Linked DNA regions of Rattus norvegicus. The protein of the gene in region 1 interacts with the protein of each later gene in a pairwise test. Links are inferred from orthologs where the notes say so. Each region holds a gene or a part of one and is shown on either strand. Other genes may lie near its edges.

What was found.
Region 2: the proteins of Zfp496 (region 1) and Zfp446 interact in binary tests that used the Homo sapiens proteins (3 or more experiments, as listed by UniProt). The two-hybrid records come from large-scale screens. The link is inferred for Rattus norvegicus from reciprocal best matches to the Homo sapiens genes ZNF496 and ZNF446.

Annotation. Positions count from the first base shown.
Region 1 is NC_086028.1:44,773,626-44,777,432, forward strand, and holds part of Zfp496 (zinc finger protein 496), read right to left. Parts: intron 1,870-3,807; coding exon 1,737-1,869; intron 1,314-1,736; coding exon 1,206-1,313; intron 346-1,205; coding exon 241-345; intron 1-240. UniProt on the Homo sapiens protein: DNA-binding transcription factor that can both act as an activator and a repressor.
Region 2 is NC_086019.1:82,672,355-82,676,915, forward strand, and holds the start of Zfp446 (zinc finger protein 446), read left to right. Parts: upstream 1-1,565; 5' UTR 1,566-1,828; intron 1,829-1,927; exon of another isoform or gene 1,928-2,306; intron 2,307-2,689; 5' UTR 2,690-2,731; coding exon 2,732-3,073; intron 3,074-3,145; coding exon 3,146-3,347; intron 3,348-3,623; coding exon 3,624-3,718; intron 3,719-4,561. UniProt on the Homo sapiens protein: May be involved in transcriptional regulation.

The DNA.
Region 1 (3,807 bases):
CTCTCTAACAAGGCCATCTTGGGATTCTGGCTATCCATGATCAGGTAAGAGGTACACTCTTTACATGCAGAGCACTGTTAAGTTAACACTTGACAATCTACCCAGGAAAGGTAATGAGCAAAGGTCACAGCTGTCAGCAGGAGCCTCAGGCAGTTTAATCCCCAATCCACACACACTTGCCAATCCCTAGTTCTCCACTTCATACCAAGCACCGCCAGGGCCCCACACCACACTGCTCACCTGGACAAGGACTTGGAGGTAGCACCACCTGCTGGCAGGATTGGGGCTCCGGCACCTGCAGCTCCTCCCATTTCTTTCTTTCCTCTCCTTGGAATGGCTGGAGGTCTTTCCAAAGAGAACGGAAAAAGTGATTTGTCACATACATACAGATATCACTACTCAGAAACCACTAAGGAAGCGGCAGGCTATGATCTGCAGGTGCTGCACTCCCTCTGGGGGCGAGCACGAGGGGTCATTCTGCTGAGCGAATGAACCTGAAGGCAAGTGAGCAAACACCATGAACCAAGGTTCTGAAGCTGGGCTCAATTAATGTGGGTTCTAGGTCTACCACAGACGGTTAACACCTTCCAAGGTAGGCCTGCGCAAACCTTCCACAAACAGACTGTACTGAGCCCACAGGACAGACGGGAGGGGTCAGAGGGAATGGAGGTCCCTTCACAGCACAGCCCCCGCCACACACACACACACACACACACACACACGGGGCAGAGAGGATGGAGGTCCAGGGATGCTGCTGATTCTGTTCAAGGCTACTTCCTTCATAGCTCAGGTTGCATGCACGCATACACAGACATGGTGCAATGAATTTTGGCCCATCTTTCCCCGTAGAATTCTCTGAGCGCTTGTGTGAGTCAGTGGGTGGGAAGCCGGTAAGCACAGTGTCTAAAAGGGTTGTGCTTCATGCCCAGTCCTTAGCCATACACATCTGACCATTTTTCTAGAAAGGATCTTATTCTAAACATAAGGCTACTCTGGATAGCAGAAGACATCCTCTCACTACAAGTCCCTGGTTGAGGAACAGTCTCAATGGACAGCAAAATGTAGCCTCCTCAGTCTCCACAAGAAGCCAGAGTCAAGGCAAGGCATGGAATTCCAGGAGTGGGGAGCTATGGAGGAATACTGGGGGTGCTCTGGATGCAATAGTTTTCTACCTTGCTGTCCACCCACCTCTAATTGTCACTCACCTATACAGGAGGCTTGGGGTGCTTCTTTATCCTGGAGGTCTGTCCACTCTGTGACCCGCAACCCGTTCTCCTCCTCATGTGAGTGGCCCAGCTGAACTGGAGACTCATCTATTCAAAGAGAGGTAGACACCTTAACAGTGACCTGCTGTTGCAGGTAACCCCCGTCCAACCCAAGAAGAGACTGAGGAGAGATGGCCAATGAGCTGTGGCAGGTACCACTGGGGTATAAAGGAGAACAAAAGCAGACAAATTGGGGTAGCGTGAAAGGCGGTGTGGTACAGAGCCGGCCAGGGCTTAGGACCATCTCTGAGGCCCACTGGGTACAGAAGGGCCATTCGAGCAAGCACGACTGGAAGCTGATGAAAACAGTCCTGCACAGATAGACAGACAGCTTCCTGTCAAGGTGAGAGGGTAAACAGAGATCGGATTTGAGCCACAGTACCTTAACCTCACAGGTACTGTCCCTCATTCAGAGTGAGCCCCCACCCCCCCCCCCTTCCATATACATGGCTGCATGGGACTAGGTCTTACTTGGAGGCATAGAGACTGCATAGTCTTCCCCAATGATGAATTCTCCATAGAAACCAGTCTGTGCCGGGTCCAGAAGGGACCAGTCCTCTTCTGAGAAGCATAAAATCATGTCCTTAAATGGGGAAACTCGGTTCTGAAAGCACAGAGCAGGCTGTGTCAGCTGGGGAGGAGCAGGCCTTCCTGGGATCACTATGATATGGAGAGACCATGGTCGGTGGCATGTTCCACAGGCATTTACCCCGAATGACTTAGAGGCCAGAAATCAAGCCAAGGTGCAGCAAAGTGGGCCTGTGGGAACAGCCTGCTTTTTGGGGTTTGGTGCCCTTCCTGGGCACTTGGGAGGCAGAGGTAGGCAGATCTACATAAGTTTGAGGCCAGTCTGGTCTACAGAGTGAGTTCCCGAACAGCCAGGGCTACACAGAAAAACCCTGTCTCAAAAACCCAAAAAGACCCAGGGTCCACACATGGCGGAAGGGGCTTTCCCGGATTCTAACCAGTATCACTACATCTTCACCATGCCAACCACCTCCAGGCCTCTGGGTTGGTGGAAAGAACAAATGAAATTAAGTCTCAGCTAAATTTATGGGAACTTTCAACACCACCTGACTTTCAGTTTTTTGCAACTTCAGATACATCCCTTTGGGAAACAGATGTTTGAACATCCTCCTCTGGGGCCCAAGCCCAAGCCTCTTTAGCTACTGAAAAGGGGATTCTTAGGTGTTACCAAGAACTTACTAAGGCTGTTAAGGGAGAAAACATCTTTGGTAAGCCATCTTGGGTAAACTACCTTTTATACTGGGCCAAAGAGAGTGAATGACCTGAGCCCAGGCTAGTAGTTTCATTCACTGGGAACAGATCTAGGAAGAAACTGCTTAAGACCTCCTGGAGAGGACCAGGATGCTTGGTGAGGACTTCTGCGGCCAAACCAAAAAGACTCCACTCTCCTACCTGATGCTGGCACTGGGACAGTCCTATCTCTGTGCTTCTGAGCAGAGCCAGTGCTGGCTGGAGAGAGGCTTTTGCTCAAGGGTCTGGCTAAGTCATATGCTGCCAATTCCTTTTAATAATTTTTTTAAAAAGGATTTTTTTATGTGTATGACTGTTGCCTGAATATATGCCTGGTGCCCTCAAAGGTCAAAAGAAGCCAGGAGATCCCCTGGAACTGGTTACAGCTGGTAACCGTGGGAATGTTTGGAATTACACCCAAGTCCTCTGCAAGAGCAACAAGTGTTCTTAACTTCTGAGCCATCTCTCCAGCCCCTTGAACTGCCAGTTGCCGCTGGACACCCTTTGCTTCCTGCACAGTCACTACACTAATTTTGCTCTTGAGGGTATTTTTGATTTTGATTATGCTGCATAAAGCCAGTTTGTGTCCTTGTGGTTTAGATTGTTATTTTAAGCTACTAAGAGATTTAATTAAAATTTTTTTAAAAATTATGCTGTACGGGTGGTCTGCCTGCATCATGCCTGTCTGTGCACTATATGCATTTAGTTCCTACTGAGGTCAGAAGATGGCATCAGAACTCTTGGGATTGGTGTTAACCGACCGTTGACATGGCCATGTAGATGTTAGCAATTGAACCCAGGCCCTCTGGAAGAGCAGCCAGTATCCCTAACCACTGAGCCATTTCTCCAGCCTTTTGGCTTTTTGTTGTTGTTTGAGGCAGGTCTCACTGTATAAAACAATTCGCTTGCCTGCCCTCAGTCTCCCAAGTACTTGGAATAAAGGTGTGTGCCACCATGTTGGATTGTTGGTTTTTATGGACTGGTATTCTTGCCCCTTTTGCCCAGACAGAGAGCTGATTGCTTAGTCTGCTATCCATCTGCAAAGCTCTCACTGTAGCCAACTCCTCCTCAGAAGGACCACAGTCAAAACCAAGAGAGGCTGGACCCAACCTCACATCTTCTGCCCAGCCAACTGGTAGCTCCAGTTAGTCCATGCCGGGTGCCCATACTTACACGCCTGCTACACCTCAAAATTCACCACAATATTATCAAACAGACAGACGCTGAACTAAAAACAAAAAATGCCTCAATGGACTGAGCCCATAAGGACTAACCCGGATGCTGT
Region 2 (4,561 bases), on another chromosome or scaffold:
GGACCAAAGATACGTTGAGGAAACTGAGTTCCCCAACAGTTCTCTGACAGTCCTGAGCCTTCTGGGATCCACAGACTGGAATTGTTACCACCTTCTCTTCCTCACCAGCCTCTGCTTTTAAGCTGAGTGCTTTTTACCTCCACACTCCTTGGATCTACCTCTTCCAATACCGAGAACTGGCCTGCGCTCCCCTATGTGTGGGAGTTCCCCAAGAACTACGGCTATACTGGGTTAGCTCCTCTTAACAGGCTACGCTTGTAAAAATGCCTATGGGTTTTCTAAGTCAAATGTTAAACCAGCTAAGCTTGGTAGCACCTGCCTGTGTTCTCAAAGCTGAGAAAACTGAAGCTGCAGGTTACAGAAACCCTGTCTTAAAACAACAAAACCCTCACCTCCCAATCCCACAAAACCAAATAAACACATGCACCAAACTTCACCTTTGGCTCTACAGCTGAACATGATGCACCACACTCCACACTTGGCTGTAAGTCTGTAGGTGAAGATGGAGGGGGGGTGGCATTCAAGGGAAATCAAATACTGAGCTGACACTGGGGGTCTCTCTCTCATGATTTTCCTGGGCAGCCGTAAACCTATACTCCAACTGGAAGAAAGCCTCTTAGGTCCCACTTGGTCAATGAGTTTGTTAGGGTTACAAGAGTAAGCATTTGAGGAGTGAGAGTGGCTAAGCTGCCCACAAAACACTCAGAGGGCCCTAATGACTGGGTCCAGCCCCTCCAGATGCATGGGGTCCAAGCTCCTCTGTGCAGAGTAAAAAGCCTACGCTCAAGACTTGAAAACCCACCAACTCCCCTACTCTGGAACGTCCCAGCGCCCCCCGATTCACCTGAGCAGAGGCAACCATCTTCTGAGTTTTTCCCTCCCAATAAATCTCCTGTCTGAGGTTTGTTGTGTGCTGTGACTTTGTAGTATCCAACTTCCAGGATACCTTTCCCTTCAGAACTGTAACACTGTCATTGGAGAAGGCTTTCTCCACCCATAGCTGTAACATTACAAGAACATGGGTGACTGAAGAATCCCAACCCTAATCAATTTTTTATCTTAAAATTTATCATTTCTAAGATCACACACAGTTGGGCAGGAAGGACTGGTGACAAAAATGTTTCCCCATCCCAAGAGAAAACATGAACATCCAAGTATTTTCAGTACAGTTATCTGAAGACTATTAATGAGGGGGTAATTACATAGTTACCTCCCTCCTCCGAGCGCTTGCTCACCCGTGGGCCTACTGCCCCCACAATATCCAGGGAGCTTAACGGAGATCCCACAGAGGCCATAGTGGGTATTCCTCGCCTCCCACCGGGATTCCTACTGGTACTGTCTGGAACAGTCTGGGATGACGCCTGGACTCAAGAGGCCAAGAAGCCTCTACCTAGGCCTTCTCCAAGGCAGGACGACCCTCACGGCATAACTCAGAGAACAGTAAAAGGCCGTAGGTTGTGCGCTGGCTGTTACCTAGGAGACACAAGGAGCGCGAGCCCTTTGGGGAGCGCCAGCTCTGATTGGTCAGGATGCCCTAACTAGCCAATAGAAACCAGTTCCGCTGTGCACATGCGTCAAGAGGCTAACCCCCAGTCTGGGTCGGCTGTACGTGAGTCCTACGGCTGAGGTTGCAAGAGAAGAACCGCTGCCAAGTCAGGAAGGGGAACCCCCGGAACTCTGCGGCAAAGCGACCCCGAGGAGAGGAACGAAGAGCCTCCCGCGTTAGAGGCCCTGGAAGCGTGCTGTCGTCCTTGCTGAGGCTCACGGGAGACGTAGTCCAAGCGGAGGGGGCCGTTCCTGCGGAGCAGGTGCAGGATTGGCCAGGCTGGTAGGCTAACGGGAGAGGCGGGGCGATCTGTGAGTGGTAGTGGGACGCGCTCCGTGTCACTTCCTGGAAGTGCCTCAAGCTTCTCGGGCTCCCCCACGCGTCAGAGGTGAGCGCACTCCTAGCTGTGCAGGCGCAGCTTTATAATCCCCCTCCTCTGACCGCCGAGAGTGCCTCCCAGCCATCGGACCCACCCTTTTTCTGTGTCAGAGCCTGAGACCCCAACTCTGAGTGTCTCCTGAACAGGCCAGATGTCTCAGGAGAGCTGATTTCAATCCAGAACTTCTTAAGAGCTGGTACATAGGTTCCAGCTGACTACACACAAAACGGGGCTGTTTGATTTGGCTTTTGTTTCGGGGTTTCACATGCATAGGCTGAGGCAGTGTGAGGCATCCACAGTTCAGTTGTGGTCAGTGAACTGTGTCTGCCAGCCTATATAAGCCCCTGGCAGTGCACCCAAGCTTTCAGCGCTGCCCCCCAGGTGATGTACTTGGGCCCCAGAGTCAACTCTTCAGCTAGCACAGTGGTCTGCCTCCTGCCTGAAGCCTCAGGGCTTCAGGTTACCCTGGATGATGGTCCGATCTATGTCCTGCTTGAACTCTTGTCTACCGGGGGAACCACTTTCATCTCCCAACAGCCCTCTGTTTTACCCAAATATTTGAGCCAGTAATTTGCAGTTTTCTAGAAGATCCTTGGACACCTTCTACTCAAGTCGTTATCTTCAAGGCTTTCTCAACTACTGTGGGCCTGCACCTTCCATGACCTTCCTTGAAGTTCTCCTGCCCACAGGGTTCTCTTTATGGCTTCTAGGAAGGATCTGGTGTATGCCTTCTGACCTTAGATGACATTCTTCCTTTTCTGTAGGTAGGACCCTCTGTCACCTCCAAAAAGACCCTCAAAACAAGAATGCCATCTCCTCTGGGTACCCCACACCTATCCTTCAGAGACTCCAGGACCACCCTTGAGGAGCCTGAGGCTGCACGACTCCATTTCCGGGGTTTCTGCTATGAGGAGGTTGAGGGACCCCGAGAGGCATTGGCCCGGCTTCGAGAGTTGTGTCACCAGTGGTTGCAGCCTGAGTCATCCTCCAAAGAGCAGATGATAGAGTTGCTGGTTTTGGAACAGTTCCTGGGTGTGTTGCCTCCTGAGATCCAGGCCTGGGTTCGAGGACAGCGACCAGGAAGCCCCGAGGAGGCCGCTGCCCTTGTTGAGGAGCTGCAGCATGATCCTGGACAGCTGCTGGGCTGGGTGAGTGCAATGACATTAGCTTCTTAAAGGGACAGATTGAAGGGAGAGCCCCTGTAACATGCTTCTCTTCAGATCACAGCCCACATCCTGAAGCCAAAGATACTTCCTTCAGTCCAGAAGATGGAGGAGTCCTCAGGGAGCCACCACATCTCAGCAGCAATGGAATCCTCCAAGGCAGGCCCAGCGGAGGCACCGCAGGACGCAGGGATAGACAGATCTACCCAGATCAGTTGCAGTGTGAAGGAGGAAGTCAGTGCTGATGGGCAGGAGATGGGTGAGGGGATGCAGCATCTGAACTCAAATCCCTGGGGTGTGTGGGGTACGGGGGGGGGGGTTAGAGTAAGGTGCTCTAGGAGAGGTTTTGCAGGGCTGCAACTCCTGAAATGAGTCTGGACAATCCCAGCTGAGATAAGGACTCTGGAGAGACCATAAAGCTGAATTTCTGAGAAGGAACAGGGTGATCTCCCCCATGTCAAATTGCAGAGGCGGGCCAAAGGCCAATGCAGTAACAACAGCTTGATACTCCTTCCCATCTGCCTCTCTTTCTCAGTATCTCCAAGCACCCTCCTTCCAGCCCAGGGCCCTGAGGGACATCTTGAACATCAGGAAACAGCCTCCGTATCGTTCCAGCCAGGAAGAATCCAGGTAAACAGCCTCTAGCAGGCCTTGCATGTGGGAGGAGGAGTGTCTCTGGTGGCTTGTGTTCTGCCCTACAGTTTTGTAGGATCCCCTGCCAGTGACTCATGTGGTTTTTACTACTTCTGAGTAGTAAATACCTTCCCTCCCATCAAGTCCTATTGGTAGCCTCTCATTAGAAAGGATTTAGGCCCCAGATCCAGAAGTGGCTAGAACTGGTGGGCATGGATTTCTCACCTCCAGAGAAGTCAGTTACTGGAAAGGTTTACAGTATACACAAGCCATGAGCCAGTTGTTATGTGTACAGTTGGGGAGGGGATGGCCATGCAGGATTCCTGCAGTCCTGAGGTCAGATCAAAATTCTCTTCCCGAACATTCCTCAAACCCCTTCTACTGCTCTTTTCAGAGTACAGTGACACAGAGGCTGAGCTTAACCTGCTACCTGCATGTGTATAGTTAACATGGAGAGAGTAGAGATCTGTCCCCTCTAGGTTCTTTCTGCTTCTGAGCCCTTACCTTCTTTCTCAATAGAATGTCTAGTTAGGGTGTGCTTCAAGGTTAAGAAACCCTTCTTTGATCCCTCTCTGGTATCCTGCTCCATTCCAGACTAATAACACCTCTAGATGTAGCTGTGGCAGCCACCTTCCTTTCTCCAGATTTGCTTTGGCTTGTCCTTCAGGGTTATTTTTCTCAACCTATCAAAGACCTATATGGCAGATTTCAGGGCAAGGGATTCTTTCCTTGGTATGGCCATCACAGCACGCATGCATGCCCTCGTGCACACACACACACACACACTGTCTTGCCACCAAATTGCCCCTCTTCAGACCTTGCTTGAACCGGCTGCCACCT